Linked DNA regions of Ovis aries. The protein of the gene in region 4 interacts with the protein of the main gene of each other region in a pairwise test. Links are inferred from orthologs where the notes say so. Each region holds a gene or a part of one and is shown on either strand. Other genes may lie near its edges.

What was found.
Region 1: the proteins of BIRC7 (region 4) and UBE2K interact in binary tests that used the Homo sapiens proteins (3 or more experiments, as listed by UniProt). The link is inferred for Ovis aries from reciprocal best matches to the Homo sapiens genes BIRC7 and UBE2K.
Region 2: the proteins of BIRC7 (region 4) and POLR1C interact in binary tests that used the Homo sapiens proteins (3 or more experiments, as listed by UniProt). The two-hybrid records come from large-scale screens. The link is inferred for Ovis aries from reciprocal best matches to the Homo sapiens genes BIRC7 and POLR1C.
Region 3: the proteins of BIRC7 (region 4) and CASP9 interact in binary tests that used the Homo sapiens proteins (3 or more experiments, as listed by UniProt). The two-hybrid records come from large-scale screens. The link is inferred for Ovis aries from reciprocal best matches to the Homo sapiens genes BIRC7 and CASP9.
Region 5: the proteins of BIRC7 (region 4) and DDX6 interact in a two-hybrid assay, tested with the Homo sapiens proteins (3 studies listed by BioGRID and IntAct). The two-hybrid records come from large-scale screens. The link is inferred for Ovis aries from reciprocal best matches to the Homo sapiens genes BIRC7 and DDX6.
Region 6: the proteins of BIRC7 (region 4) and PHF1 interact in binary tests that used the Homo sapiens proteins (3 or more experiments, as listed by UniProt). The two-hybrid records come from large-scale screens. The link is inferred for Ovis aries from reciprocal best matches to the Homo sapiens genes BIRC7 and PHF1.

What each region holds. Positions count from the first base shown.
Region 1 is NC_056059.1:59,504,825-59,509,728, reverse strand, and holds the start of UBE2K (ubiquitin-conjugating enzyme E2 K), read right to left. Parts: upstream 3,037-4,904; 5' UTR 2,848-3,036; coding exon 2,785-2,847; intron 1,799-2,784; exon of another isoform or gene 1,721-1,798; intron 1-1,720. UniProt on the Homo sapiens protein: Accepts ubiquitin from the E1 complex and catalyzes its covalent attachment to other proteins. In vitro, in the presence or in the absence of BRCA1-BARD1 E3 ubiquitin-protein ligase complex, catalyzes the synthesis of 'Lys-48'-linked polyubiquitin chains.
Region 2 is NC_056073.1:17,057,676-17,062,915, reverse strand, and holds the start of POLR1C (DNA-directed RNA polymerases I and III subunit RPAC1), read right to left. Parts: upstream 3,429-5,240; 5' UTR 3,408-3,428; coding exon 3,339-3,407; intron 3,220-3,338; coding exon 3,148-3,219; intron 1-3,147. Other genes in the region: protein YIPF3, read left to right, coding at 3,718-3,798, 4,400-4,597, 4,780-4,886. UniProt on the Homo sapiens protein: DNA-dependent RNA polymerase catalyzes the transcription of DNA into RNA using the four ribonucleoside triphosphates as substrates.
Region 3 is NC_056065.1:51,317,890-51,322,334, reverse strand, and holds part of CASP9 (caspase-9), read right to left. Parts: intron 3,262-4,445; coding exon 3,227-3,261; intron 2,144-3,226; coding exon 1,967-2,143; intron 1,336-1,966; coding exon 1,246-1,335; intron 86-1,245; coding exon 1-85. UniProt on the Homo sapiens protein: Involved in the activation cascade of caspases responsible for apoptosis execution. Binding of caspase-9 to Apaf-1 leads to activation of the protease which then cleaves and activates effector caspases caspase-3 (CASP3) or caspase-7 (CASP7).
Region 4 is NC_056066.1:54,020,603-54,025,754, reverse strand, and holds the start of BIRC7 (baculoviral IAP repeat-containing protein 7), read left to right. Parts: upstream 1-1,677; 5' UTR 1,678-1,852; coding exon 1,853-2,207; intron 2,208-2,951; coding exon 2,952-3,051; intron 3,052-3,284; coding exon 3,285-3,366; intron 3,367-3,472; coding exon 3,473-3,518; intron 3,519-4,248; coding exon 4,249-4,452; intron 4,453-4,721; coding exon 4,722-4,793; intron 4,794-4,933; coding exon 4,934-5,151; 3' UTR 5,152-5,152.
Region 5 is NC_056068.1:29,108,373-29,112,817, reverse strand, and holds part of DDX6 (probable ATP-dependent RNA helicase DDX6), read left to right. Parts: intron 1-377; coding exon 378-524; intron 525-2,235; coding exon 2,236-2,330; intron 2,331-3,689; coding exon 3,690-3,812; intron 3,813-4,226; coding exon 4,227-4,355; intron 4,356-4,445.
Region 6 is NC_056073.1:7,741,325-7,746,222, reverse strand, and holds the start of PHF1 (PHD finger protein 1), read right to left. Parts: upstream 3,495-4,898; 5' UTR 2,979-3,494; intron 2,244-2,978; 5' UTR 2,228-2,243; coding exon 2,069-2,227; intron 1,986-2,068; coding exon 1,904-1,985; intron 1,806-1,903; coding exon 1,710-1,805; intron 927-1,709; coding exon 826-926; intron 732-825; coding exon 583-731; intron 419-582; coding exon 323-418; intron 141-322; coding exon 72-140; intron 1-71. UniProt on the Homo sapiens protein: Polycomb group (PcG) that specifically binds histone H3 trimethylated at 'Lys-36' (H3K36me3) and recruits the PRC2 complex. Involved in DNA damage response and is recruited at double-strand breaks (DSBs).

The DNA.
Region 1 (4,904 bases), on a different chromosome or scaffold from region 4:
ATAAATTAATATCTCAGACAAGTGACAGATTTTCAAACACAGTTTCATGGAAAAAAGGCCTACATGGCTTATTTATTTTTAGTAAATAACATATTAGCATGATTCAAAATTCAAAAGGATTCTTTTGATCCCTGTTGCCCCAGACACCCAATTCTTCTACAGAGAAACAATGTTACCAATTTCTCCTTAATCCTTTCACCTATACAAATACACATACTTCCCTACTTCTGACACTAATGGTGGCCTCTTCTCACTGATTCTATCCTGTACTTTCCACATTTAATTTATCTTGAGGCTGTATTTTAATTAACAACACACTCCAACAGTGGCCATTTACAACTTCTTACCGCCAGATGTAAGCTATCTTTACAAAGACACTTAAAAGGGGGAGGGGAAATCCTTAAAATCAATCAAGATTCTTAGTAAACACAAAAATATGAAATAAACTTTGGTAAAATGAAGATTTACATAGATGACATGAGGAAATACTTAATTATACCAGCCACTCAAATACTGCATTTACATACATAAAAAGGAAACATGTGGACTGTACTTCAACGTACTGAAAATAATCAACATAATACACCTATAGAATTGGACTTAAGTATCAATGAAATAAAATATATTGGTGAAAATAAAGCTATTTATTGGTTATAAATTCCAATATTAAATTATCTGTAATTAGTTGAATTACATTTCCTAAATGTTCTTTCTGGAAGAAGTTTCATTCCAGATTTATACAGACACTGTTCTTAAAAAAATAATTTTCCTGTTTGGATTTTGTTTTCTTCCTCTGAAACACTACATCACTTACTTGAAACAAGGTTTCATCATTCATTGCTCATATATAAAAAGCTGTATTATTTTAACAATATGCATTACTAGAGCAATACAAGATTTCTTTTAAACTTCAAGTAGTAAGAATATCATGGTGAAAAGTCACTTCACATAATGCAGAGACTATACGAATTACTTATACTTTTAAGTAATAGAAAATAAAGCATTAAAGTCTTATACTAAGTTTCAGGCTTGTACAACCGTACTACAGAAGAAATGTTCTAGGCTACTGGCAATAATACTAGCTGCAAACTTTCATTAGGAAGATATATGTCAAGTATCCTGGAAAATCTTTTCTTACTAAAGAAAAATTTAGAATCACTGTCTCACTATATATCACAGTGCAGGTATTTATGATTCTTTTTCTGCACTGTACCACAAAAACACAAAGTCATCCTTCCATTCAGAGTTTTGGCACTTGAACAAATACAGAGGTCAGAGTTTATACACATGCTCTGTAAAACCAATCATTACTTATATACTATTATATTCAATAAATCTGCTAGGATTTGGCATTTTTAAATAATTTTAAAGAATCTTCTCCACGTCTATCTGTAAAGACACAAAATCACTTCAGATTCAGTGGCACAAATAAAGTTCAAGTGCTTGCTATCAGACTTGTCAATAACTCATCACATACTTAGAATGCTGAATTTCACAAATAAGAGAAAAGCACAAATAGCAATAATATATTCGATAACGATATTTGACATCTTGAAAATAACCATTCAGTATTTTTAATCTTTGTTGAGTCCAAGGAGGAAAAACAAACTAGCATTCCTGTTGATTATGGGTGTGAAAAATGTACTATACTTTCATAATTTTGAGTCAAATTACCGAAACATTTAAAATATATTAACAAATGTGGCCAATATCAGCGTACCTAAAATTTCTACAGGACTGAAGAGTAGTAGCTTGAGACAAAAATTTTTCATCATTTCAGATATATGTTGGAATAAACCTACTTAATAAAGAAACATAACAATGTATTAATCCGAAATCTCATGTTTTTAAGTAGGACACTTTTTCAAAAGTAAGAACTAACTATGGGGACATCATAATGAAGTTTCATGGCACAAATGGCACAACACAACAGTGTCACAGAGGCATTGTCTTAGGACAGACTCTCTCATCTATAACTTGTAAACAGTATTTTGAAATAAGCTACTCATACACTCCACTATTTTTTCCTTATCTTAGCTAAAAATATTTAAACGTATTTAATATACCGAACGTGCCTTTACCTAGTCAAAAAGCTTCAGATGTCAATCGAAAAAGACGCCTAGAATGTCGGAGTAAGTGGAAATGAGATAATAGTCTAATACGGAATTAATTTTCTATCTCTGGTGAAAATTCCCTTATCGCCCACTCAAATAAGCTAGTACCCCATTATGTCTTCTCTTTTCTCCCAACACCCAACCGAGAGGGAGTTAACTCCGAACATCCTTCTCTCATCAATCACTCCTTCGGTAAGGAAAGGAGGGTGGCAGCCAGACCGGCCATAACCCAGAATACCCTGAAAAGTGTGGGCCTTTGAGCGACGCGGCTCTCCGGATCCAGTTACCACCTTTCCCCTTCCCCCAACCCACTTCCCGGGTTTTCTCAGGCTCGGCCTGCTACCTCCCCACCCTACAGCCACACTTCCAGCTGTTGCCACTGCCGTGGGGCGCTCTCTAGAGCTCACACCCGACGATAAGCGCCCTTTCTCCATCTGCCCCTTAAACCTTATTCCTCCCCAGACCCCCCGCCCGCGAGACCGTCCATCCCAGGGCCCGGGGAGGGGAGGGGAAGGCGGCGGAAGGAGGGGGGAGACTGCTGCTTCCCCACAGGCAGAAGGGCGGCCGCAAAGAAGGCCAACCGGGGGTTACCAGGGATATTGGGATTGCCACCGGAAGGGCCCTCCCGCCCTGGGCTGATGTGGGGGACGTCCGGGAGTTCATTTCTGACCTCCTCGCTCTTCAGCACCTCCTTGAACTCCCGCTTGATTCGCTGCACCGCGATGTTGGCCATGTCTCCGCCCGCAGCTGATTCGTACCCGCCTCCTCCGCCACCGCTACGACCACCGCCACCGCCGCCACCTCTTCCTCCACCGCCTCCTCCCCCGGCGATTCACACCCGAGCACACGAACGCTGCCACTGCCACCCCGGCCGCCGCACTATCTTCAGTGTGGAATCACCTCCGCGCCCGGCCACCAAAATGGCGCCGGGTCCGCGCATGCGCACGACGCTGACCCGGCCCGGCGGCGCAGCCGCTCCCGTTGTAGCCCCATACGCCTTAGCCGCGAACCTGCGCCGCGCTGTGCGGCGCGTCTCTGCCTGAGCTGCGGCCGCGTGGCTCCGCCCTGTCGGCGTCTGGAGCCAGGAGGGTGCGGCTTCCGCGCGGGCCAGGGCTTCCCGGGCCTCACGGGTCGTCTCCGGCGCCTCCGCCCCTGTATGAACGTAGGTGGTACGGTGGAGGCTTCCAGACCTTCGCCTCTAGCCGAAGGTTCGAGTCCAACCTGACGGGTTCACGCGGCCCCTCTAAGCTTGGAGCGCCGCCCTGACTCAGCCAGACCACGGGCTTAATGTATCCGGCTGTGTCTAGTGTCGGAAAACACTGTCCGGGAACTCGGTCTGGCCCATTTTCTGTTGGTTCTGAAAAGCCACTGCGGTTCGTTTTTGTCCTGCAGCCGTTACAGTTCTATTACTGCAGTCATCCCAGGATCTTTCCAGGTACAACAAATCATTAAATTAAGTATGGTCATTGTTGTATCTCAGTTGTAATTGAGACCGGGTCTCAGTGGAGATGCCTGAGATGAGTTTAGAAGCCAGATGTTGATCTTTGGCCTACTTAGATAATAACAAGCCGTGGAACTAAAACCATAGCTTTAAAACTTGAATGTACATCAGGATCCCTGGAGAGCTTAAGAAAAAACAAAAGAGTGTAAGGTGGGCCTAATTTGCATTTTTAGCAAGTTCCCAGGTGCTGCTGGTTCAGAGACCACAGTATGAAAACCACTGAACTAAGATATGTTCAGTAACTGAATATATAGGGAAAACTGGAGAAACCTATCCCTCTTGGGGGGGAAGGGCAGCTTTACTTCTGTAAGCCTAGAGTAACAGTGGCTAGTGCTAGTAGGCACTCAATGAATATTGAATGAATAAATGAGTAAAGAGTAAATGTTTTAAGTGAGAAGTAAATTTGAAAGGCAATTGAAAAGTGGTTTAGGGCTTCCAGTAATATGGTTTTGATACTAAGGGATGCTTTGAGTAGAAAACATTTTGTAATAAATATTTATTTAGAAGTTTATATTTCATGCATTTCTTTCACCTAACTAATCAGTAAAGCATCCTGTTAGGAAAATATCACGAATACACCGTCTTAGCAAAAATTACCAAAATTGTGGCAGTAAAAAAAAATAAGCCCCTGGGTATGAGTCATTCAGTGGAGGCACATGGCAAGAAAAGAATTTCTTGAACTGCCGCAGGAACCAAGAGGGGATTTTAAATTCCAGCCCCCTTCCATACCAGCTCTCTCTCTTCAACCTTGGTTTCCTCTTCTGCAAGATAAGGAAGCTGGATGAGATGATCTCCTCCAAGTTTTAAGAGTTTAGAATTCTAAAGCATCTGGAAACATTCCCCTAAACGGAAGAACTATAAAAACCCTTCCAGCAGAGCCCCCTAGTGGTCCTAAGGCGAACCAACTATACATGTGGGCCATGGCACAATAAAATGGTATAATGTATAAGTGTTGCAATGCTATGTGTATTTGTGCCAGTACATTAAAAATAATTACTTCAATGTGTGAAAAAACTTTTTGAATACTTTACCTTTATCACTTTAATTCAGTCCCCAATATTAATCTTGGCGCTTCAAAGAAATTTAAAACACTCAAATCACAGGGGAACTAATTAGAAGGGTATGCTAATTTCTTTGGGGAAGAGAAGTTTGGTCATTTTTAAATGCACATAATCACTGGCCCTGAAATTCCACTTTCACTCCATTTTTACAGTCCTTCCTATTAACAGAATATGAGGCGACTGCCAATTAACTGACGAGGCAATCCTCAAAATACGTTTTAGGGAGAA
Region 2 (5,240 bases), on a different chromosome or scaffold from region 4:
TTCGTCTCCCCTGTGCTCTATTTCATCATCACACTCTTCATTTCTGCCTTCAGCCTCAACTTCCCTATGCAACTGTCACAAACTGTGCACACCCCACAGGACAAGCCTCAAATCCTCTACCTCTAAGCTTGCAGATATGATCCTACTTGCTTAAGAACTCTTCCAGAGCTCCCTATCACCTCTGGTGCCTAAAATGCACTTCAATCTTGCCTACCACTGAGCTGCTTACACACTCCTCAGCCTCTGCTCCTTGTTCAAGGCCGAACTTAGATGTCACCTCCTTCAGGAAATCTTCCATACCTCTGCTCCCCATTCCCATTCTGGATTAAGTGTCTGTGTGGGATACCCCCCAAAAAAATCCCGACCTCCACCCTACCGCCATCATCTTTTTTTACTTTCAGCTGCCTTTGCCACATTACACTGGAGTCATTTGTTTATGTTGGCCTCATCATACACAGACATTAGGCAAAAGGCAAAGCCACCTCTCCTTGTTTTGCACTGAATGAGATGAAGCATGGAGAAGTGGCATCAGGAATAGGAATTAAACCTTGATTAAACTTTGTGACACCTATATCGGAAACCCTGACTAGTAACCCAACAGAGCTTGGCCAAGCATGCGCAATAAAGGTTCTATACAACCTGGTGTTTCACTCCAAGGGAAAATTAAAGGGGGGAAAGCTCTTAGTGTGGTGGCTTTAGGAGACAGATGCACAAGAGAAGCTGTTATAACCACCCATCCTCCCAATAATAAATAGACCGTCCCTAATCAAATAAGTCAAGTGGGCCTTAAGAAGCATTACTATGAGCAAGGCTAGTGGAGGTGATGGAATTCCAGTTGAACTATTTAAAAGCCTAAAAGATGATGCTGTTAAAGTACAGCACTCAATATGCCAGCAAATTTGGAAAAACTAAGCAGTGACCACAAGACTGGAAAAGGTCAGTTTTCATTCCAATCCCAAAGAAAGGCAATGCCAAACAATGTCCAAACTACTGCACAACTGCAGTCGTTTCACATGCCAGCAAAATTATGCTCAAAATTCCCCAAGCTAGGCTTCAATGGTATGTGAACCAAGAACTTCCAGATGTTCAAGCTGGATTTAGAAAAGGCAGAGGAACTAGAGGCCAAATTGCCAACATCCTCTGGATCATAGAAAAAGCAAGAGAAGTCCAGAAAAACATTTACTTCTGCTTCAATGAGTAAGCTAAAGCCTTTGACTGTGTGGATCACAACTGTGGAAAATTAAAGAGATGAGAATACCAGACCACATTGCCTGCCTCCTGAAAAACCTGTATGCAGATCCAGAAGCAACAGTCAGAACTGGAGATGGAACAATGGACTGGTTCAAAATTGGGGAAGGAGGACGTCAAGGCTGTGTATTGTCACCCTGCTTATTTAACTTATATGCAGAGTACTAGATGAAGCACAAGCTGCAGTCAAGATTGCTGGGAGAAATATCAATAACCTCAGATACGTAGGTGACACGATCCTAACGGCAGAAACCGAAGAGGAACTAAACAGCCTCTTGATGAAAGTGAAAGAGAAGAGTGAAAAAGCTGGCTTAAAACTCAACATTCAAAAAACTAAGATCATGGCATCTGAACCATCATTTCATGACAGACAAACGGGGAAAAAATGGTAACAGTGACAGACTTCATTTTCTTGGGCTCCAAAGTTACTGCAGACGGTGACTGCAGCCTTGAAAGACACTTGCTCCTTGGAAGAAAAGCTATGACAAAGCTAGACAGCACATTAAAAAGCAGAGACATCACTTTGCTGACAAAGGTCCATATAGTCACAGCTATGGTTTTTCCAGTAGCCGTGCATGGATGTGAGAGAAAGCTGAGTGCCAAAGAATTGATGCCTTCGAATTGTGGTGCTGGAGAAGACTCTTGAGAGTTCCTTAGACAACAAGGAAGATCAAATGATCAAACCAGTCAATCCTAGAAGAAATAAACCCTGAACATTCATTGAAGGACTGAGGCTGAAGCTGAAGCTCCAATACTTTGGCCACGCAATGCCAAGAGCTGACTCACTGCAAACGAGTGATGCTGGGAAAGATTGAGGGCAAGAGGAGAAGTGGGTGACAGAGGATGAGATGGTTGGATGGTATCACTGACTCAATGGACATGAGTTTGAGCAAACTCCAGGAGATACTGAACGACAGGGAAGCTTGTCGTGCTGCATTCCCTGGGGTCACAAAGTCAGACCCAACTGAGCAACTGAAGAACAACAACAAAGAAACCTGCACCCATTCAAGGAATTAAAATAATGGAGTGGGGCTAGAAAGACCCTCAGGTGGTCTCCTCACTCGTGTGGACACTCGTATTCTTCTGTGAGTGCCTGCTTTCCCTTCTCCTTAATAAATTGCTTCTTTGTTCTCTCTACACCTCAGTTTCTCTGTGTGACATTTTTTTGCACTTTGGACAGGTAGAATAAGAACCTGGACCTTTACTTTAGCATGTCCCACATCACAAGTATGGCAGGAGACAGACGGGCTCCAGCTGAGGAATTTCCTATCAGCCTCCTGTTTGCCCTCCAGAAACGAAGAGAGAACAGAAACAGAGTCAACAGTCTTTGTCTCTAGTAAATATCTTGAAGAAATAATTATAGCAAGAACAAAGCAAGGCGAAATCCCTCGTCTGAGTAAGGATTAAGGGATCTCCGCTTCCCCCTTTTTAGGATAAGGAAGATACATCACAAGTGCAGAAAGGCTACTTGGGGTCAAAAGTCAGAGGATAATTCAGGCCATAACGAGTCTTGCTCTTCCCAGAAGCCTTCACTTCCAGATCCATCTTGGCTAAGAGGTGAGTGTGCATCCCATGGGAGGGTCCTGCCCGTGTGCCTTTCTACATGTACTTCTCTTTTCAATCAACTTCGTACTTTACTCTGTACCTTCTGCCTCCTCGCCTGAATTCGTTCTTGACTAGGCAGACAAGGACTAGGGACTCTAGCCCTAACTGCTGGCTCCTGTGGTCGTAGTTAGGACTACCGGTGGGGGAAGCTACAACCCCGCTTCCAGCTACCGCCCTCTGCCCCTTGCTGCAAGCTGCCCTTTTCTGCTGCGCCTTGGAAATTACAAGGACAGCTTCTAAGGCACAGGTTGCTCATATCACAAAGTCCGATCCCACAGTTCCAGCTCCACCTACCTTCTCAAAGCGGTCCTGGTCCCAGGCATCATCGTAGCCGCAATAGTTACCGGGAAAGTCAGTGGTATGAACCTAGAGCAAAGAGAGACGAGAATGTCTGCGAAGGGGCAGCGAGGCCAAGCCCGTCCCCACTCTGACGCCAACTCATCCCTGATTCACTCTGCTCCCGAGCTGAAGGCCACAAGACTTACATTGCGAACCCCAAACTCCCCTAGAACCACGCGGGTCCTCATTTCCTCCACAGCCTGGGCCGCCGCCATCTTCAACTCCTCCACGTGACCAGAGTACCTAACTGATGCGTGCGCACTAGTCGTCCGCCTCCGTTTCTGTAGCAACGCACCTCCTAGAATCTTAAATATCGCGAGACTGTGCCTTGCCTCCGTCCACGTCCCCAGCTACCGGAAGTTGGTTTGAGCCAAACATCCGGGTTTCTCCTTTTTTTGCATTCCGACCCATAGTACCTTTCTTTCTTGTCCCTAGACCTGTCCCTTTCTCAGGCCCGCATCTCTCCCACTCCTCCTCCGCGCGCGGGACAAGCACGGGCTTCAGCGACGGGAGCCCTCGAGGGACATGGCAACTCCGGCGGCGCCGGCTGGCGGCGCCCGAAACGGGACCGGCCCGGAATGGGGAGGGTTCGAAGAAAACATCCAGGTAATGGCCCCACGGCTCCGGCTGCCCGCAGCCCCTGGGCCGGCAGCCGCCCTGAACTCTCCCTCAGAGCCTGGAAGTCTGGTCCATTTGCAACACTTTTTATCTTCTTTTGAGTCTTCGTGCACAAGAAAGGCAGTGGGGCTAGTGCTGGTCTTAAAGCTCCAGACTGGTACTCCAGCCAGGGGCCTTAGGTATCTGGGCCCAATTGCTCTTGCTTTCCACAAGTTTAGGAAAGTCAGTCGGAGACAGGCATGGCGGGAGTGGGCTTGGGGGTGGATGGGATTCACTAGCCAAAACCACACTTGGTGCGCATAGCCTTGTTTTGGGGTTGGGAGAGATGAAGGAAATGGGCACTTTGCAGCCCTTTGGGGCCTTGGTAGGGAAGGTAGGAAAAAGCCGTGTATGGAAGACAGGGACTAGGTTCCCCAGACTAGAACAGAGCACCAAACAAGCAGGGGTTCTGAGACCAAATGAGGAGAAGAGAGTGGCGTCATCTGTGGCGATTTCAAGTCCCCTAGCCCCAAACCTTGTGGTGAACGGAGAAGGACTCAACTGGACGAAGCAGAAAGGTCCTGCACTCTAGGGTCTGTTGTCTTCACAGGGTGGGGGCTCAGCAGTGATTGACATGGAGAACATGGATGATACCTCAGGCTCCAGCTTCGAGGACATGGGTGAGCTGCATCAGCGCCTGCGTGAGGAAGAAGTGGATGCTGATGCAGCTGCTGCTGAAGAAGAGGATGGGGAGTTCCTGGGGATGAAGGGCTTTAAGGGACAGCTGAGCCGGCAGGTGGCTGATCAGGTAAGCACAGTTGGCTCCCTGACAGGTGGAAAAGTATACCGAGGAGACCTCTGGTTCTGGAGTTGGTGAAGTCCACCCCAGGTTGTCCAGTTCACACCATTTTGAAATCAGATAAAAAATAAGTAACATAGAGCCAAGAGTTTGACAGCACCCTTTCACCCCACCCATCTTCCTTGCTATAGATGTGGCAGGCAGGGAAGAGACAAGCCTCCAGAGCCTTCAGCTTGTATGCCAACATCGACATCCTGAGACCCTACTTTGATGTGGAGCCAGCCCAGGTGCGAAGCAGGTGAGGCTCCTCCTCCTGACAGAAACTGCCCTCCTAACACCCAGTCCTTCATCCAAACTACAACCGGACATCAAACCCTTAGACTCGCCTTGTTATGACCCAGCCACACCATTCCTCTTGTCATAGAACAGGGCGTAGTGATAACACACTGCCTTCCTCCTCTTCTCCATCTAATAAACTGTTCATCTTCCCTCAAAGCTTGGCTCAAATGTCACTTCCTTTGCTCCCCCTACCCGGTTTGTCCTTTCCTCGTGCTCCAGCAGGGCTCTCTGCACTTCTCCCAGGTAACATGTCAGCAGTGCTGTACTTCCTTATTCCTGGGTCTCTCTTTCCAAAGACTTCCTCAGAAGCAGG
Region 3 (4,445 bases), on a different chromosome or scaffold from region 4:
CATTGAAAGTGTTCACAATTCTCTCAACGGACACAGGACATCCGTCTGTGCCATAAACAGCCCCTGGGAACTGGCGGTGGCTGGCCTAGAAGACCAAGAACTCTGGTGACAAACCCAAGAAGTTACGGTAGGAATCCAATGGCCTGTTTGTGCAGAGGCTTTGTGGGGACCAAGCATTTAGAAGGTTCCACCAGGGGCACAAGGCTGAGTGAAACACAGCAGGTTGGTCCTGGGCAGCCTCAATTCCAAGGGTCTCAAACTCACATGCCTATAAGCACCAGATAGCCTAACTCAAGAACACTGGCCAGCTTCCTCTAGACTGGTTGTTCTCAAAGTGTGGTCCCTGGACCAGCAGCATCAGCATCACCTGGAAACTTACAAGACATGCAAATTTTCCCAAATCAGAAACCTGGGTAGTGGGGACCAGAAATCTAGCCCTTCAGGTACCTCTGTTACAGCTAAACTGAGAATGACTATGCTAGAACAATTCCTCTTAAACTTTGTGTTTACAAGGGTCTTGTTAAGGTACAGGCTCTGAATGAGAACCTACATTCTCCTGAGCTGCCAGGCGATGCCCATGCTGCTGTCCAGAGGCCACACTGTGAATGAAAGGACCAAAGGGGTGGCCCCAGCCCAGCCACAGGCCAGAATTTTGCTCTTTGAGGATAAGGGCCTGATGGGTCAGACCTTTGTGGTTTTTCAGGACAAGCTGAAAATCATGACTTCCGTGCTACAGTCGCCAGTTTTGAAAACACTGTACAATCCACTGGGGTTGTTACCTCTGCTCTGTCCAGCCCTTCAACTCAAAAGATGAGGACACTGAGGCCCAGAAAGGGGGAAGAGTCTTGGCCACCATGACCCAGCACATTAGTGGTCAAGGCCAGAGTGGGTCCCAGCGTCCCAAACTCATAGCCAGCACCAAAGGGCCCGGAACAACATTCAGCAGGACCAAGACAGGAGCTGGAAGCTCTTGTAAGCTGTGCCCGGCTCAGAACAAAATCCAGCTTACCTCTTCCTGACTCTCCCAGATGGTTTCTCCCAGGGTCGCAGCCCTCCCACCCAGGAGGAGCACCCAACCCCTCAGAGGGCCAAGTGGCTTCTGAGAAAACAGCAGGAGGTGGACAGGGCCCTGTGGCTCTTCCCACAAAGGCCAGGGGGTCTTGGACACAGGAAGGGACGAGGCTCCTGCAGGGCCTCTCGGGGCAGCCTTCCTGGGCGCCTGCTAGAGAAGGTGAGCCCACCAACCTGACAGCCGTGAGAGAGGATGACCACCACGCAGCAGTCCAGAGCGCCGTGGTCCCGCCGCGCCAGCTGCGTCAAAGCCTGGACCATTTGCTACAAGAGAGGGCCGGGGGTGAGCCCGACCACTGATGGACCAGGTCCTCATCCTCGGCCAGTCCCCTGCTCCCAGGGCCAGTCGTGAAGTAAGGACAGTCACAGTGATCACAGGAGAAGACAGGGGAAGAGATGCTGGGCTGGGCACTCTGTCTACTCCTACAATGTCCCTGGTGGCTCAGACGGTAAAGAATCTCCCTGCAATACAGGAGACCTGGATTCGACCTCTGGGTCGGGAAGACCCTGGAGGAGGAAATGGCAACCCACTCCAGCACTCTTGCCTGGAGAATTCCATGGGCAGAGGAGCCTGGTGGGCTACAGTCCATGGAGTCACAAAGAGTCAGACATGACTGAGCGACTAACACTTACCTAACCCAACCGTAGGACATGAGCATGGGTCTCGATTTATAGATAGAGAAGCTCAGGGTCGGGAGTCACACAGGGAGTTGGGGAGTCAGTCCTCAACCCGGGTCTCCGAGTCTGGAGCTTTCGCTGGTAACCAGTGAGCCACACTGCCTCTTGCGGTCCTACAGACTGAAGGGCTCGTCTCGGGGAGTCGCTGGCTTTCAGGGGCCCTCTCTAGGACACTAGCCCATGAGCCCCCATTTCTGTCCGTGCGTAGGGCCCGTACCTTGGCAGTCAGGTCACATCTCACCTCCACCGCCAACTGCAGCAGGTGGAAGCGCCGCTGCATCCTCTCACAGTCGATGTTGGAGCCCGTGCGGGTCATGAGCCCCGACTCACGGCAGAAGTTCACGTTGTTGATGATCAGGCAGTGGCCGCAGGGGTCTGCGTTCAGGACATAGGCCTGCCCAAGCAGAGGGACCAGCGTAAACCAGGGCCTCGCTGCACTCCTCGGGAGAGAAGGCGACCCCCTGGGTCTCACCCACGGGGAGGGCAGTCTGGAGAGATGGGACAGAGCCCGCAGTCTGCCTCCCTCTGAAGCGGGTGTCTGGCATCCACACCACACACACGCAGCTGTGTGATGGATGATCAGCTAAACCTGGGACAGAAGATTAGCTCCCCTCAGAGTACTCAGGATGGAACCGCTAGCTGAGAAATCCAGCTCCCCTAGACACTGACCTCCAAAGGACCAACAGGTCGCCCAGTCCTGGAGAGTACTGACAATCGCGTGATCAGCTCTGCTGGCAGACTCCTGCCCAAGCCACCCTTGAAGAGTCTGAGGCCACTTCCTCTCAAGGTTCAATGTTTCTCTAGTAATTCTCTCTCACAGCAGCCTGGGTTTTTTTTGCTGTTCCTGGTGGCTCAGAGGTTAAAGCGTCTGCCTGCAATGCGGGAGACCTGGGTTCCATCCCCGGGTGGGGAAGATCCCCTGGAGAAGGAAATGGCAACCCACTCCAGTATTCTTGCCTGAAGAATCCCATGGATGGAGGAGCCTGGTGGACTACAGTCCCCACGGTTGCAAAGATTCGGGCATGACTGAGCGGCTTCACTCACTCACACTCACAATATTTACACTTATATATTTCTTTGTGTGACTAGTCTCACTAGGCTGATGGCTCCATGAGGGCTAGAAACTTGAGTGGTTGGTTCCCAGGTGTCCTAGCGCAAAGTCCAGGCTGACACAGGGAAGTCACACAATAAATACTGTGACTGAGACAGGGAGTGACTTGGTCCAGGATAGGTGCCACAGCCGATTCTCACACTGACCCCTACTTAGATCTAACCCAACTTCACAGATGAGGAAAGGGCAGGGTTAGACGATCTGCTTCAGGACAGCTGTACCAGGGTCAGGGTGCTATAGGAGGTTCAGGACTGAGCTGGGCTGAGCTCCTGGGGCTCCTGACACAGCTGCAGGAAGGACCTGGGAAGCAGAGAGCGGAAGAGCAGAAAGCCAACACAATCGGCTCCAAATGACATGAAGACTCACCAGATCGGCATTTCCCTTGGCTCTGTCCTGAGGACCTGGAGAGAGAAAGAGGGAAAACGTGAATGTCAGGGTCCAACAGGGAAGGGACAAGGGACCCTGTGAGGACACCTCCCACAGAAACATAGAAACGCAGAAGAGCAGGAACACAGGAACTCCTGGGGACTGCTGGTGAAGTTAAGTGGCACAGCCACCTTGGGGAACTATTGAGAAGTTTCCAGGGCTTTCCCTGGTGGTACAGTGGATAAGGATCCACTTGCCAACGCAGGGGACACAGGTTTTATCCCTGGGATGCACCACAATGACTGACGACTGTGCACCTAGAGCCCTGCTCCACCACAAGAGCAGCCCCTGCAATGAGAAGCCCGTTGCGCCACAACAAGAGCAGCCCCTACTCGCCTCGACTAGAGAAAGGCCACGCACAGCAGCGAAGACCCAGCACAGCCAAAAATAAATAAATAGTTTTTTAAGACTTTTTTTTTTTTAAAAAAAGAAGTTTCCAATAAGGTTGAACACACACCTACTCTCCGACCAGCAACTCTACTCCCAGGTACAGAGCCAAGAGAAATGAGCACAGTGAGCACCAAACAACTTGGCCATGAATGATCATCAAAGCCTTATTCATACTCCCCAAACTAGAAACAACCCAAACATCCACCAGCAAGTGGATGGGTAAGGCAACTGTGACACAACTATACAAAGGGACACGACAGAGCTTAAAAAGGAAGGAGGTACATGCAACACCATGGATAACTGCAAAAACACCATTCTGAGTTTTTAAACAGCCGGCAGAGTGCATACGGTGTGATTCCATTTATGCGAAATTCTAGAACAGAGAGACATAGGGAAGCTCCAGGTCTGTTCCCTCTCTGTGGAATCCAAGGAGGCCAGCACGCAGTAAACTGAAAGTGAAAGTGAAAGCCGCTCAGTCGTGTCCGACTGTGCAACCCCATGGTCTATACAGTCCATGGAATTCCAGCACATACCAAATAGCTGAAGGTCCTCACCAAATAGCTCAATAATGAATAAAGGAGTAAAGGTGTTATTTTTCTTTCAGTATCAAAAGAGTTTTCATTTCAATTAGCAAGAAGTCAACTGACCACCAACCTACAACGTTATGGGACTTTTTCTTTTTTAAATAAATAGACATTGACCATCACCCAGTCATGCCAGAGACTATACTCATGATCCAACCATGGTGCCATGCATTGCTCAGAGCGGG
Region 4 (5,152 bases):
GCCTGTTCACCCCTCATCCCATGGTCCACCAACCAGGATGGGCAGCCCAGGCTCAGGAGCCTCGGAGGGGTACAGGCACCCAGCCACATACTTCACTAGGGTTTCCTGCAGGCAAACCCGGAGCCCAGGGCCATGCCGCTGGGCAGCTGCAGGGAGCCAGGTGGCTCAGGCTGCTGCTAGGAGAGGATTCCCAGGACTCCATGGGACCCTGGCCACATGGGGCTGAGCGGCTGGTGCAGCCAGGATGCCTATGGGATCCCCTTGAGGGTGAGACTGCAGCCCGCCCCCCACCCAGGAATAGGATGCAGGCCTGGGCTCCTTGGTCTGTGCTGGGTTCATGCGGCTCCATGCCCAGTGGGGTGGTGATGGTTTGAGGGTTGCTCGGGGGACATGGCAGGGCTGCAGGCCTGGGTGAGAACACCCCTCCATCCACCCTCTTTGTGACCCTCACTGTGCCTGGCCCACCCTGCCAGTCCGGCATGGAGGCCGGTGAGCCCCTCCTCCCCAGCCCTTATCAGGGTCCCACAGAACCTGTTCCCCTTTGCCCTGCTCTAGGGAGCAAGGAGGAGGTTTGTGCTCCAGGGAGGGGGCTGTGCGGGGCAGGGCCCGCACCCTATCTGGTCTTCCTCTTTGTCCCTTCCACCTTGGAGCCTTTCTGTCCTTGGGACCCTGCTTTGCCCACCAGGGTTACAGTCCTCCCCATCTTCTCTCACTGGTGGGTTTGGGGACACTGGGGCCCTTGAGCCTGGGCTCTGACCAGGTTTGAGGGCAGCCCATCCAGAGAAGGAGGACCCCCATGTGGCCAATGGCTTTTACTTGAGCCTGGAGCCACCCGGGGGCCCCCAGACCAGGAGCTGGGGCTCCCTAGGCTAGCTGGGCACACACCTAGCAGGGAGGGGGAAGACAGGGTGCCAAGCTCAGAGAAGGGTGATTTGGTCACCCCTGATGACTACTTGTGGACTCTGGTGACTGGGCCACAGTGCCTCGGGGATGCAGTTCAAATGGGAAGACTGACCTTACTGTGTGTGGCTTCCCCTCCGGATCTCTTGGAGGCTAAGGCTGAGGGACGAGACAGAACCTTCAAGGCCCAAGGACAGGAGCCGCTGCATGGCCTGCAGAGGGCCTCCTGCCCAGCTGGACCAGGCACAGGGATGGCCTGGGCCCATTTGGGCTCCAGGGTTCTGAGAACATCCAGGTAATCCACTCCAGAACCCAGGTCCAGCCCTTCACTAGGCGCCCCTGGGTCCGTGGCTGCCCCACGTCCCTGTAGTGGGTGCTGCCCTCCCCTCCCCAGGCAGCACTGACTGTCATCTGGAACCTTCTGCTTTCAGAGGCCCCCCTGGCTCCCAGCCCAGGAACCAGGAGCATAACCCAAGCATAACAGGGAGCATAACCCACCCCTGCCCCTCCCCCACTAAGGTCCTAGAGCCAGAACCAGCCCTCTGCTGCCTTGGGAGAGTTCCTTCTGCTCTAGTCCCTCCCTTTGTGCCAAGAGACCCCACCCTGTCCTGCAGAAGATAGTGAGAACCACTGCCCCCACTGTGGTGGCCCTGTTGCTGAGGCCTCCGCCAGGGGCCCCGTGACACAGTCCCGCTGCAGCGAGCATGTGACACGGGCTGCCACGCTGGCCCCTTCCAGAAAGTGGCGGGCCCCAGCGGCCCCTGGCTGCTCCCCCACCCAGGGCATCTGGGCGGGCAGGACTGTTACTGCCCTACTGTTGGAGTAAAGGCCACTGCTGTCCCCCAGCAAGACACAGGGGTCAGGAGGCTGGGGCGGGCTGGCTGGGCACATTCCAGAACTGACCGCCCAGGGCCATCACTCGTCACAACTCGTCGGGGCTGCTGTCTTCGTTATGGGGCTTGAGGACAGGACCAAGTGCTGGTGCTATGGCCCAGAGCCAAGCCACTGGGCAGCTGGCAGCCGTCCCCCTCGGGGGCAACATGGACCCCACTCTCTCTGCAACCCCCGGGGCCAGGGCACTGACAGCGCCCTGTCCTGGGGAGGCCAGGACCACATGGATGGGCAGATCCTGGGCCAGCTGCGCCCCCTGGCAGAGGAGGAGGAGGAAGATGGTGCTGCTCTGGCACCGAGGCCTGCCTTCCCCGGGATGGGCTCAGAGGAGCTGCGGCTGGCCTCCTTCTACGACTGGCCGCTGAGTGCCGTGGTACCGCCGGAGTTGCTGGCCGCTGCGGGCTTCTTCCACACTGGTGAGTCCCGGGGGTCCCCACGGCCCTTCTACACCTGCTCCCTGCCCTACAGTCTCTTTTGTGCTTCAGACCTGGGGAGACGCCAGAACAGCATGGAGCAGTTAGACCTGTGCTGGGGGGACAGTGTTGGTGTCAGAGGTGCCAGGAGGAGGAACGGGAGGTGTGGGGTATCCACTGGTCCCGGGGTCCAGGGAGAGCTCTCAGAGGGCTGGTGGTGTGGGATGGCTGTAGCAGCCCCTGATCTGAGGTCTCTGCTCCAAATCTGTTGATTGTAGGGGATGAGGCAGGGGTGACAGCCACAGGGGTAGAGAGATGAGGTCCCCGTTCCCGTTTAAGGAGTTGTGAGCTTCTAAAACCAAGCCTGGAAGCACACAGCCCCCCTTCTTTCCATCACTGGGAATCCATCCTAAGAGGAGGCACCTGGGGCAGAAGTGCAGGGTGGGGACACCAGGGTTTCCCCCACCTCCCCTTCCCTAACACGCACCTGGATCCTGGCAAGTGCCCCAAGCATGGTACCCCCCCATCCCACCTTTGAGAAATGGAGTGAATGTGAATTCCAAGGAGAATGCCAGGCAAAGTGATGGCGAAGGCCAGTGGGAGCCCCCAAGGCTCACAAATAACCCCAGAGAGCCCTGCCCTAGAAGGAAAGGCCACCTGGGAGCCCTGACCCCAGCCCAGGGGGGAAGCCCCCAGCCATACAAGGGACCCAGTGTGGTCAAGACCAGTGTCTCGGCTCCACCCCAGGCCAGCAGGACAAGGTGAGGTGCTTCTTCTGCTACGGGGGTCTGCAGAGCTGGGAGCGAGGCGACGACCCCTGGACCGAGCATGCCAGATGGTTCCCCAGGTACCACCTCCCCTCCCCAGTCCCAGGGTGTCTCGGGGAACCAGGATGGGGGGACTCTCTGGGGACAGCACTTCTAGTTCTCCCTTGATGTTCAAGACTCTGTCTCCAAAACAGCTTCCCAGAAAGCCCACCACCCGGCGGGAAGCAGGGGTCCCCTGGCTCAACCTGGACAGTGCGGGGTCCTCTGACAGCCCAAGCCTCTAGGCTGTCATGTCTGAATCCGCTTTCCTCAGGTGTGAGTTCCTGCTCCGGACAAAAGGAAGGGACTTTGTCTGCAGGGTTCAGGAGTCCTGTTGCTGCCCACCGGGCTCCTGGGTGAGTCCTTCCTGCCCTTAGGGCTTCAGGGGGTGGTGGTGAGGGGCCTGCCCCAGCCCTGCTCCTTCACCTGCTCGGGGCACAGGGTTTCTCTGACTTCTTCCAGGACCGGTCGGAGGAACCGGAAGATGTGGGTCCTGCCACCCCCTCAGGTGAGCCGGGATGCGAGGCCTGTGTTGGCTCCCTTGGGCACCTTGGCCCGCACCACGGCCGGCTCCACTGGGTGTGCTGCCTGCAGACAGCAGGAGAGTGAAGGTTGCTTGGCTGGGCCTGCGGGTGTGCTGCTTGGGCTTGCTTCACTGGGGGGCTTCACACAGGCATTGCGCGTGTGTCCCAGGCTCTGGAGAGGCCCCTGCTACCCCTGAACTGGCTGCCGTGGGCATGGCCAGCCCTGAGAAGGGCAGAGGGACATAGAGGGACAGGCTGCCATCAGCCAACCATGCCTGAGAGCTGACCGGTCGCTGTCCCCATCACACAGAGTCCGGCCCTCTGCCCTCTGTCGGTGCCCAGGGTCTGAGGGGCTCCAGGCTTGGGTCCATACTGCGCTACCTGAGCTTCAGTGCCCTGAGCTGTGAAGTGGGCCTGGTGCCAACCTCACCTGGGATCAAACAAGAGTCTGTGTGCCACCCTGGGAGCAGTACCCGGCTCTTAGTCAGCTTCTGTGATCAGGTTTACGTCTTCCCTGTGCGTGGCACCTCTGACAAAGGCCCTGGGAACACAACTCTGGACACAGAGGCAGCGGCCGTGATGGCGCCAGGGCCCCTTGTAATGACGACGTGGCCCTGCTGACGGGCCACAGTGGCCGGCCGCTGTCTCTGCTGGGACCCTGAGGCCGCAGCCCCTGCCTGCCCTTGGCCCAGCACCCCTCGTTCTGCCTTGCAGATGTGGGGGGCGGCCAGGGGTGGCCAGCATGGAGCCAGTGCCCAGCAGTCCAGGCCGTGCTTCGCATGGGCTTCAGGCCGGGCCAAGTGCAAGGGCTGCTGCAGCGCAAGTACCACCAGATGGCGCTGACCGGCATGTCCACGTCGCAACTGGTAGCCGACCTGCTCCAGGAAGAGGACGGGGGCCGGGTGGTGGGGGCCAGAGGTATGTTCCTGTCTCTGGGCACAGCCCACCTCTCCTTCCTTATTCCCTCTGGGCACAGATGCCCCTGCTGCCCCCATGGTGCCGGGCACAGAGCATCCATCACCACTGCACAAGGGGCTGAACAGGCAGAGTTCTGGTGGAAAGTAGACTCTGGGACACTGGTGTGCTGTGGGCGGGGGAGCTGGGGCTAGACACTGCCTGTGGCCTGTTGGCTGGGGGCTGGGCCTCAGGTCCCCTGGGAGCCTCACGTCTGTTCTAACTGCCCACAGCTCCTGCCCTGCCAGGGCCTGAGCTGCTCACACCCAGAATAGAGGCTCAGGTGGAGAGTGCCCTGGAGTCAGGTGAGGGTGAGCGCCATCTGGGGTTGGCCGGGGCTGGCCCTCCTGCATTCCACAGTGGGGATGGGCACTCCCTGTTTGGCCTGCCTTGCCCCTCAGCCAGTACAGAGGGCAGAGGTCAAGGTGTGGGCACGGTGTCACAGGTCCCCCCGGCGGAGAACCGGGAGGCGTGCAGGATGCAGAGGAGCAGCTGCGGCGCCTGCGAGAGGAGCGGACATGCAGGGTGTGCCTGGACCGCACAGTGGGCGTCGTCTTCGTGCCCTGCGGCCACCTGGCCTGTGCCGAGTGCGCGCCCAACCTGCAGCAGTGCCCCATCTGCAGGGCCCCCGTCCGCAGCTGCGTGCGCACCTTCCTGTCCTAGG
Region 5 (4,445 bases), on a different chromosome or scaffold from region 4:
TGGTTTCTTGATCTATAATTATTTCTGCCATCTTCCTATTATGTTCATATGATATAAGTAGAACTGGGCAGCAGGAGTTTCCTATTTGGGCATTTTGACTAGTGATCTCTTACTAAAATACTAACAAATTTTGAGTTAATAATTGCCAACTCAAAGAACCCTTTAAGGCTTTGTAACCAGGAAGAGTAGAAGAATTGTATAGCATTGTTACTGAGGAGAAGTCTAAATCTGGTACACTATAATAGTTTCTTTTTTTGAAATTTATTCATTTGAGTGTCTTGATTACAAGGGGCAATATTTCTATAGCTTCTTAAACTCTTAAAATATGGCTTTTCCCCCCTCCTCTCTCCTTTTTTCTGTTTGTTGATATTTTCCAGCAATGGTGATTGTTCCCACTAGAGAACTTGCTCTACAGGTCAGTCAAATTTGCATCCAGGTCAGCAAACACATGGGAGGGGCCAAAGTGATGGCAACCACAGGAGGAACCAATTTACGGGATGACATAATGAGGCTTGATGATACAGGTAAGAAATGATTGGATACAAGCTGGCTTGCTGTCTGTAATTTGACACACAAGTGTTTCAGTAATTTATTAAAATTGTTTTTAAAATAGGGAACAAACATTGCAGTAGAAAAATGAATAAAGGAAATGACCATTTCAGTCAAGAAGAAAAAAATTATTTTAGTCATTGGAAGGATATTTAACCTTACTAGTAATTTTTTAAATTGCATATAAAAACAGTAAATTGATATTGTACCTATCTGATTGACAAGATTAATTAAGATTGGAAAGGCTAATTAGTAATCCAAAATCACTGCAGATGGTGATTGCAGCCATGAAATTAAAAGACGCTTACTCCTTGGAAGAAAAGTTATGACCAACCTAGATAGCATATTCAAAAGCAGAGACATTACTTTGTCGACTAAGGTCCGTCTAGTCAAGGCTATGGTTTTTCCAGTGGTCATGTATGGATGTGAGAGTTGGACTGTGAAGAAGGCTGAGCGCCGAAGAATTGATGCTTTTGTACTGTGGTGTTGGAGAAGACTCTTGAGAGTCCCTTGGATTGCAAGGAGATCCAACCAATCCATTCTGAAGGAGATCAGCCCTGGGATTTCTTTGGAAGGAATGATGCTAAAGCTGAAACTCCAATACTTTGGCCACCTCATGCTAAGAGTTGACTCATTGGAAAAGACTGATGCTGGGAGGGATTGGGGGCAGGAGAAGGGGATGACAGAGGATGAGATGGCTGGATGGCATCACTGACTCGATGGACATGAGTTTGAGTGAACTCCAGGAGTTGGTGATGGACAGGGAGGCCTGGCGTGCTGCAATTCATGGGGTCACCAAGAGTCGGACACGACTGAGTGACTGAACTGAACTGAATATGCATTTGTGAAGAAATTTGTTGTCTTGCAACATAGGGGTATAGATTGATACAATCTCTATGGTGGGCAATTTGGCATTATGTTTCAAAATTATACATGTATGTTTTTAATGATCTTTTTTTGAAGAAATGATTGGACAAATGCAAGGTTGTCCACTACAGTGTGGTTTGTAGTACCGAAAAACTGGAACAATATCAGGGAAATTTGGCTAAATATACTGGGGTATAGACTGAATGGAATGCCACATAGCCATTAAAGAGTGCAGCTGATCTGTATTCATTTTCATGAAGAGTTCTCCATGATAACATTATTTAGTGAAAAAAAGAAAACAGCAAGAGTTGAAATCCATTTAGTTATACATTGAATTTTAGTCAGGATTTTATATATGATTGTTACTTGATTAGTTTAATTACTATATTCTTTATACTGCCTTGTTAATTAAAAATGATCATCTTACTTGATCCTGTTACAGTCTTCTGCAGACCATTGATCTATTAGAGGCAAGCTGCTGTATCACGACTGAAGTGACTTAGCAGCAGCAGCTATATCAAAAGTTCGGCATACTTTTTGTTTTTCCCTGGGGGTTTCCCTCAGACAAAAAACTATGTTCCTTATTTGGAACAGGTGAATTGGAAAGCTGTAGCCCACTGCATGCAGAGGTGAAACTAACTGGTATTCTCTAGCCAACTGAAGATGAGATGGAAATCCATATTCTAAAATACATCTTGGCCTCTTTGTATTATTCCTACAGCAGTGTTTCTGATACACTATGTATGTGATAAACCTTTACTGTATCCTTTTTGCCCCAACTAAAATTAATGAAAATACATGTTTTCTAATCTTGTGTAGTGCATGTGGTGATAGCTACCCCTGGAAGAATCCTGGATCTTATCAAGAAAGGCGTAGCAAAAGTTGATCATGTCCAGATGATAGTATTGGATGAGGTAACATTTTTTTCATTTGGAAACATACCATTCTGTACTGATTTGGCTTTGTTTATAACTGCCAATGAATGAAGGATAACCTCTTTGTGTTTAAGACCTTCTAGTAAATTCATTACTCTTGTTGGTTTGTTCAAAATAACTTGCTTCTAAAACATGTTTTGCCTTTTAAAAGCAATAGGTGATAGGTGTTTATAGGAATGATTCAGCCTTGTGTCTTTTTCTTAGGGAAGTCAGATAGTTTATTTTTATTTTGCACTGAGAAGTCATTGAATAACCTCAAAGCCAAGGCCATTCTACATCTGTCTTCATTCTGTGATTGATCTTAAAAAGCATGTTAAAAAAAAGGCATCTTAAAAACCCCTCATTTAACATACTCAATTTGGTATTGTTTGGTTTTTTGTCTCTGTTATATGTGTTCTCTCACCAGACTATAAGTGCCTTTTGAGAACTTAGCTCTGCATTCTTGGGACCTAGCAAGCAAGTGTTTTATATGTATATTCAATCAGTGTTGATGTTTTGGGTTTTTAAATTTTTAATTGAAAGATAATAGCTTCACAGTGTTACATTGTTTTTGCTGTACATCAGGCTCCAGGCTTCTCTCCTTGAGCACCCCCACACCCCCCAGTGTTGATGTTTTGAAATGAAGTTATTTTCCTATTTGGTCTGTTTTAAGATAACTGGATCCGTTTCCTCTTGGTCTAATTTGAAACAGGTTTTTATCTTTGAGTAATGAGAGAGCACAGTTATTAGTGACTGTGTTAGCACTAAGTGCTTTACATGTTTTTTCATTGAATTTTTACAACAATCCTATAAGGTAGTTATCCTAGAAAGTAATTCCTACAATAAGAAGACATCTTGATTTTTAAATTGTGGAAACTGAAATAGAAGTTAAGAAACCTCCCAACATAGATAATAGCGAAGGAAGCAAGTTTTTTGTTTGTGTGTGTGAGGGGGTGAAGTAGAAAAGGATAGCTTTTATTATTTGCCAGGCAAAGGGAAACACACCCTCCTTCTGCCTCAAAAAACTGTATCCCTGACAAGTTTTAAATACAGGTAGTTTAATGATGTAGCCTGTACTTCTAACTATTATACCATAATGTCTCTTTAATGGAAATCACATTAAAATTTTTTATGAGAATAAGGATTATGTCTGTCTAGGATTTTTTTTCCCTTAGATCAGTATTACAGACTTTCCCTTTTTTTGTATCACTGAATGTGTCTTGGTGCCTTTGGACTATATAGTGTTTACAGCCAGGAACATTCTGTGAACTCTCTTGCTGGAATGATTGATTCCTTATTAACAAAAAACCATAGACATGATTTCATTGTGTTTAAGATCATCTTCTCTTTGTACTGCAGGCAGATAAGTTGCTGTCACAGGATTTTGTGCAGATAATGGAGGATATTATTCTCACGCTACCTAAAAACAGACAGATTTTATTATATTCTGCTACTTTCCCTCTTAGTGTACAGAAGTTCATGGTGAGTATAAATCTGTACTTAGAAGCAGTACCTTCCTGTTGGCCATGAGTATACCTTTATCCATAATTATATTACTAGTGTATATTTTATGCTGGTTTCAAGTTTTAAGATACCGAAGTATTTTGATTTTTATTTGTTCATTAAGCTGGTGTCTGACATAGCCATTGATGCTAGATAAATTGATTGCAGCATAATCTTATATTTAAAGTACAAAATAGTAATAACTTAGCTGTATATCTGGACATTAGATCTCCCATTTTATGGTAATGACAGATTATATATTTTAAAGAGAGCCGCATCCCTTCAATTAAGAGTTTATCAGACAGACATGTATGAGGATATATTTTGAGTTAAAGTTTATTTAAAGAAATAAACTCTGCTTTAACTATGATACTTTTTTTTTTTCCCCTTCAGAATTCCCATTTGCAGAAACCCTATGAGATTAACCTGATGGAGGAACTAACTTTGAAGGGAGTAACCCAGTACTACGCATATGTAACTGAGCGCCAAAAAGTACACTGCCTCAACACACTTTTCTCCAGGGTGAGCCAGTTAAACTTCAACTGCTGAATGTTATCCATTCCTTAACCTCAATAAAACAGTTGTATCAGTTTTCTCATCATTTTCAGTGCA
Region 6 (4,898 bases), on a different chromosome or scaffold from region 4:
GCCTGTAAAGTGAGAAACTGAGGGTGCCGAGAGAGGAGTGATGCTGAGATCGTGCCCCATATCCAGCTCACCAGCGAAGCTGTAGCCTCCGGACCTTCTCAGGGCCCCCCCGACACACACAGCACTCAAACTCATAGAACCTGGACGTAGGCAAGAGGGAGAGAATACACCTTTTACAGGAAACTACACCTGCCCACGGGGGTGGGGGTGGGGGTGTTCCGAGCAAGGATGGGGCTAACCAGTAGGCAAGGCTTCAGAGCTCAGGAAGACAACCTGGTCTGGGATGGGGGGCAGAGCTCCTGGAGGGTCTGCCCAGGCTCACCTGTCCCCGTACAGGAGGGGCTTGCTCAGACACTGGGTGCAGGCCTCGTGGAACCACTGCAGGCAGCTCCGGCACTGCAGCATCTTCAGGTTCCACCTGAAGTGAAACGGGACCAGTGACCCCCCAGACACACCCTCCTTAACCGCCCCAAACCCTGCTCACCACTCTCCCGCCCCCTTCAGCACTCCTACCACCCTGCCATTCTCCTTTGTTCCCACCCCCATCACTTGTTCCCTAGCCCCCCGCCCCTCACTACTCACTCCCCAGGGCCACCACAGTAACAGTAGCTCTGCTGGCGGTTGCTCAGATGTCCAGCGTCCCAGTCCAACCCCTTCAGTCCATATGGCAGGGAGAGCTTCATGCCCAGCATGGCCCGGGCGTAGGGGCCCTTCTTCAGTGCACCCCCCCTCTGCAGGTGGAACAGACAGGTGGCCTCAGGGGTGGAGGAAGGAAGGGTCCAGGAGAGGCTGAGAGTTGGAGGTCCCACAGGGAGGGGCCCTTACCTTGGTGGCGATGGCAAAGACGCACTGGCGGCAGACCCAGGATGCGCCCTCTCCCTCTCCAGGGGCTGGAGCCCTTGGAACGTGGCAGTCCTGGTGATAAGCTGAATAATGAGAATATTGACAGTAGACCACTTATTGCATTGCGTACCTGTGCGCGCTAGGTATTGGGACAAGAGTCTTAACCCCATCTCATTTTGTTCTTGACCATGGTCCTGGTAAGGTGGGTGTATTATCTTTATTTTAAAAGCAGGTGAGGCAGCTGTGATTCTTAGAAGTTTAGGGACTTGCCCAAGGTCAAATGGTTAGAAAAAGCCGTACTGGAACTACCCTCTGCCTGCATCTGGGACTTCCTTGATAGCTCAGTTGGTAAAGAACACCTGCAATGCAGGAGACCCTGGTTCAACTTCTGGGTCAGGAAGATCCCCTGGAAAAGGTATAGGCTACACACTCCAGTATTCTTGTGCTTGGGCTTCCCTTGTGGCTCAGCTAGTAAAAATTCTGCCTGCAATGTGGGGAACCTGGGTTTGATCCCTGGGTGGGGAAGATTCCCTCGAAAAGGGAAAGACTACCCACTCTAGTATCCTGGCCTGGAGAATTCCATGGACTGTACTTTTCATGGGGTAGCAAAGAGTCAGACACAACTGAGAGACTTTTGCTCACTCACACCCTCTGCCCGCAGAGCTCATGCATCCCATCCCAAGGCTGCCCCTCCCTGTGCTGGCAGGGAGTGAGGTTACAGGCTTGTGGAGACTGCTCAGAGCAGTGGCTTGGGGACTCAGACCAGGACAGACAGTATAAGGACCAGAGCTGGAGAGAAGGATCAGAAGCACCCTGGTAGACCTAGGGCAAGCTAGACCATTCAGGTGTCCTGCCCTCTCACCCACCATGGCGACACTTCTCACAGCTGACCAGCCGGTTCCCAGGGACCACAGTCTCAGAGCGACATACACAGCAGAGGAGTTCCTCCCCAGGGAGGGCCGCTGTGAGAGAACAGAGTGTCAGAGGGCCTGTCCTCCAGCCCCTTTCTGTCCCCCATGCCAGGTTTGTTTTCCCTTGGATCCATTCTCAGGCTTCTCACCAGGGCTAATGTCTTTCCATAGAACCAGAAACTGGGAATCATCCTCAAACTGAACCAAACACACCTCCCGAGCACTGTCCACCTGGAATGGGTGAGCACAGAAGATGGAACAGGAATCAGACTAGATAAGGGGAATGAGAAAAGGTGACAGGTCAGAGGTCATACCTTTTTGATGGTCCCCAAGTATAGCAGCCCATCTGTCCATCTGGCCAGCACATCTTGACCCTCCCAAAGTCGAGGCCGGGGGCCTGAGGTGGGAGCAGGAGAAGCTGGGTCCCAAAGTGGGGGGGCACCAGAGCGGCTCAGCCGGGGGGGCTGTGCCATTGCATCCTGGGGGGGCCTAGTTAGAAGTGAGATGGTAGGAGAAAGTTACCAATATTGAGGAACTAGCCCCCATTTTCTTTGCCTGTTTTTCTGTCAAAGGCTTGAGCAGGTGTGCCCAGCCTCCATTTCCCTGAGACACCTGGGTAGGAAACCCCTGGGCACCCCTTGGGCCTTCCTGACTCCAGCTCTCCCAACAGTCACCAGTGGTTCTCTTCTCCCCACCGTCCCCCCACCCCACCAACCTAGTTCTCTAGTTTCCCAGCTGCCAGAGCTCCCCTGGGACGTTGTATCCCGGCCTTGAGATTTTAGCAAAAAGGATGGTTGCAGAGGCAAAGGTTGCCACTCAGTTTCTACTGTCACCTTCTACCGCTGTTTATAGAGGTATTACAATTGGGGTGCTGTTTCCCAGAGACGTGTTTTGGGAGCTTTTTCTGGAGATGTTTTCGAGTGGAAAAGGTTGCCTCCGGGGCCCCCGTGTCTCATTCAGAACAATCATCTTGGTGCTAGGTTATGTCAGGTCACCCTCAAATTCGGGGCTCCCTGCCCCCGGGTTAGAGAACTTCCCTGAGTGCCCCGGGAGGGGGGCGTGTCCCAGTCCGGGTCTCTTCTCCCCAGGACGGCGAGTGGGAGAGGGGGCTTGAGTCGGCCCAGCCCGACCCGCCGCCCGGGCGGCGCGGCTCTCCCGCCCGCGCCCTGCGCGCCGACCCCCGGCTCCCTGCCCCCCCACGGGCGCCTCCCGCCGCCTCCTTACCAGTGACAGCTGGGGCCGCCGGGAGCCGGGCAGAGGCAGACGTGGGAGACTGAGGTGAAACCCCCGCGCGGGGAGGGCACGGCTGGGCGTCGGGGGGGCGTGCAGGCAGAGACCGGGGGGTCCCCAGGCCCAGCCCCTCCGTCCCGGCGGCTCTGGGGCGTATGACGCAGCAGCCAAAGCAGCGGCAGCGGCAGGAGGAGGCGGCGGGGGGAAGGAGGGGAGGGGAGGGGAGGGACAAACCTGCTCGGGGGGAGGGTGGAGGGAGGGGAGGGCGGGGGGAAGGAGGAGCCGGGGGGGCGGGCACCTCCTCACCCCACCTCCCTCACCGCCAGCGGGCCTGGAGGGCGCGGAGCGAGTGGGAGCGTCTCCGTGGATGGGGCGGGCGGGCTCGCGGACCCGGCGGGAGAGGGAATCCCCGCAGCCCCTTCCTCCGGAGAGAGGCCTGCCCTCGGGGCAGGAGGGAATCCCCCGCTAGGCCGCCGGCCGGGCCGCCGCCCCGCGCCACATCCGTTAACTGCCCCCGGCCCCGCAGGGTCACTCCGGGCCCCGCCCCGCGCTCCAGTTCACGACCCCGCCCTCCATTCACCCGTCCCATGGCCCCCGCCCCGCCCCGGCCCCGCGGGCTCCGCCTCCTCCCGCCTTTGCCCCGGCCTCCGCGGGCTCCGCCTCCTCCCGCCTTTGCCCCGGCCCCGCCCCCCCGGAGTTAGATGCCCCCACCCCGCCCACTGTCGCCGCGCCTCTGCGCACGCGCGACCCCTCCCGCGCGCGCGGCACCTGGGAAGACCCAGCCCTCTGACGGGGCGGCGGCCCTCGGCGCTTGGCGCGAGGGAGTTAGCCTATGCGCCCCGCCCCGCGCGGCCGAGGCGGGTGCACCGACTAGAAGAGCTCGGACCGAGGCGGTGACGCCGCCGAGAGCCAGCCAATGGCGGCGGGCGGAGCTAGCCCCGGCGGTTCGAAAGGGAAGGAAAAGAGCGGGAGGAGAGAGCCCGCAGCTTGTGGGCGGACGCGCCGGCCCCGCCCCGGACTCCCACCTTTCCGCACTCAAGAGTTCCTGCCCCGGGCGAGGGTGGCCTGTGCCGGAGGAAGCGGAACTAGTGACTGGACACCTGGTGCGCGCAACCCCCCGGACGTGGATAGGGACGGGAGCAGGGCGGGGGCCACCCTGACTCTGGAGTGACCCGTTAGAAAAGCCGGAGCCCTGTCCCCGTGAGACACAGACGTTTGGCAGAATGGAAGAGCCACAGCTCCCCCCTTATTGGACAACCGCTAATAAAACCTTTATTTAAAAACAACAAAAAATTCTCTTCTTTATTTGATAGGCCCAGGTATCAGCGCCCACTACCCCCCTCCCCCCCCCCCCGTGTGTCTCACACATACACACACACAATCTAGATCCATCTTCATTTCTTGTTGGCCTGGGCTGTGCCAATAACACACTGGTTCACCTGCAGACAGGGGATTTAGACAAAACAGGATAAAAAAATTTTCAGAGCAACCAAAAGTTTTCCCCAAATCACCTCTGAACCCTCAGTGTTAGGGCTGCCCTCAGAGTCCTGAAATAAGGGCTCTGAAAGCAGGTTCAGGCTGGTCTCAGTTCTCCCGCGCCCACTGTCCACACTAGATCTGGAAGAGGAGGAAAGGCCAGAGAAAGGACAGAAGCCCCTCACAGGAGCAGAGAAAGGCACTTCTAGACACCCTCAAAGCCCTCCCACCACTAGTGCTCAATAAGCTAGATAACACATCATCATAAACGTAGGAACCAAAGCTCCTTAGAAAATTAATGATCTTCAGTCTAGGGCAGGAAATGTACAAGATGAATCTGGAGAAAGGACTACTGAGAACTTGTCTAAAGGGCACAGGAGCCAAGTTGGAGCTTCCACTGGCCAAAGGCAGGCAATTTGAGCATCAGAAAGAATAATG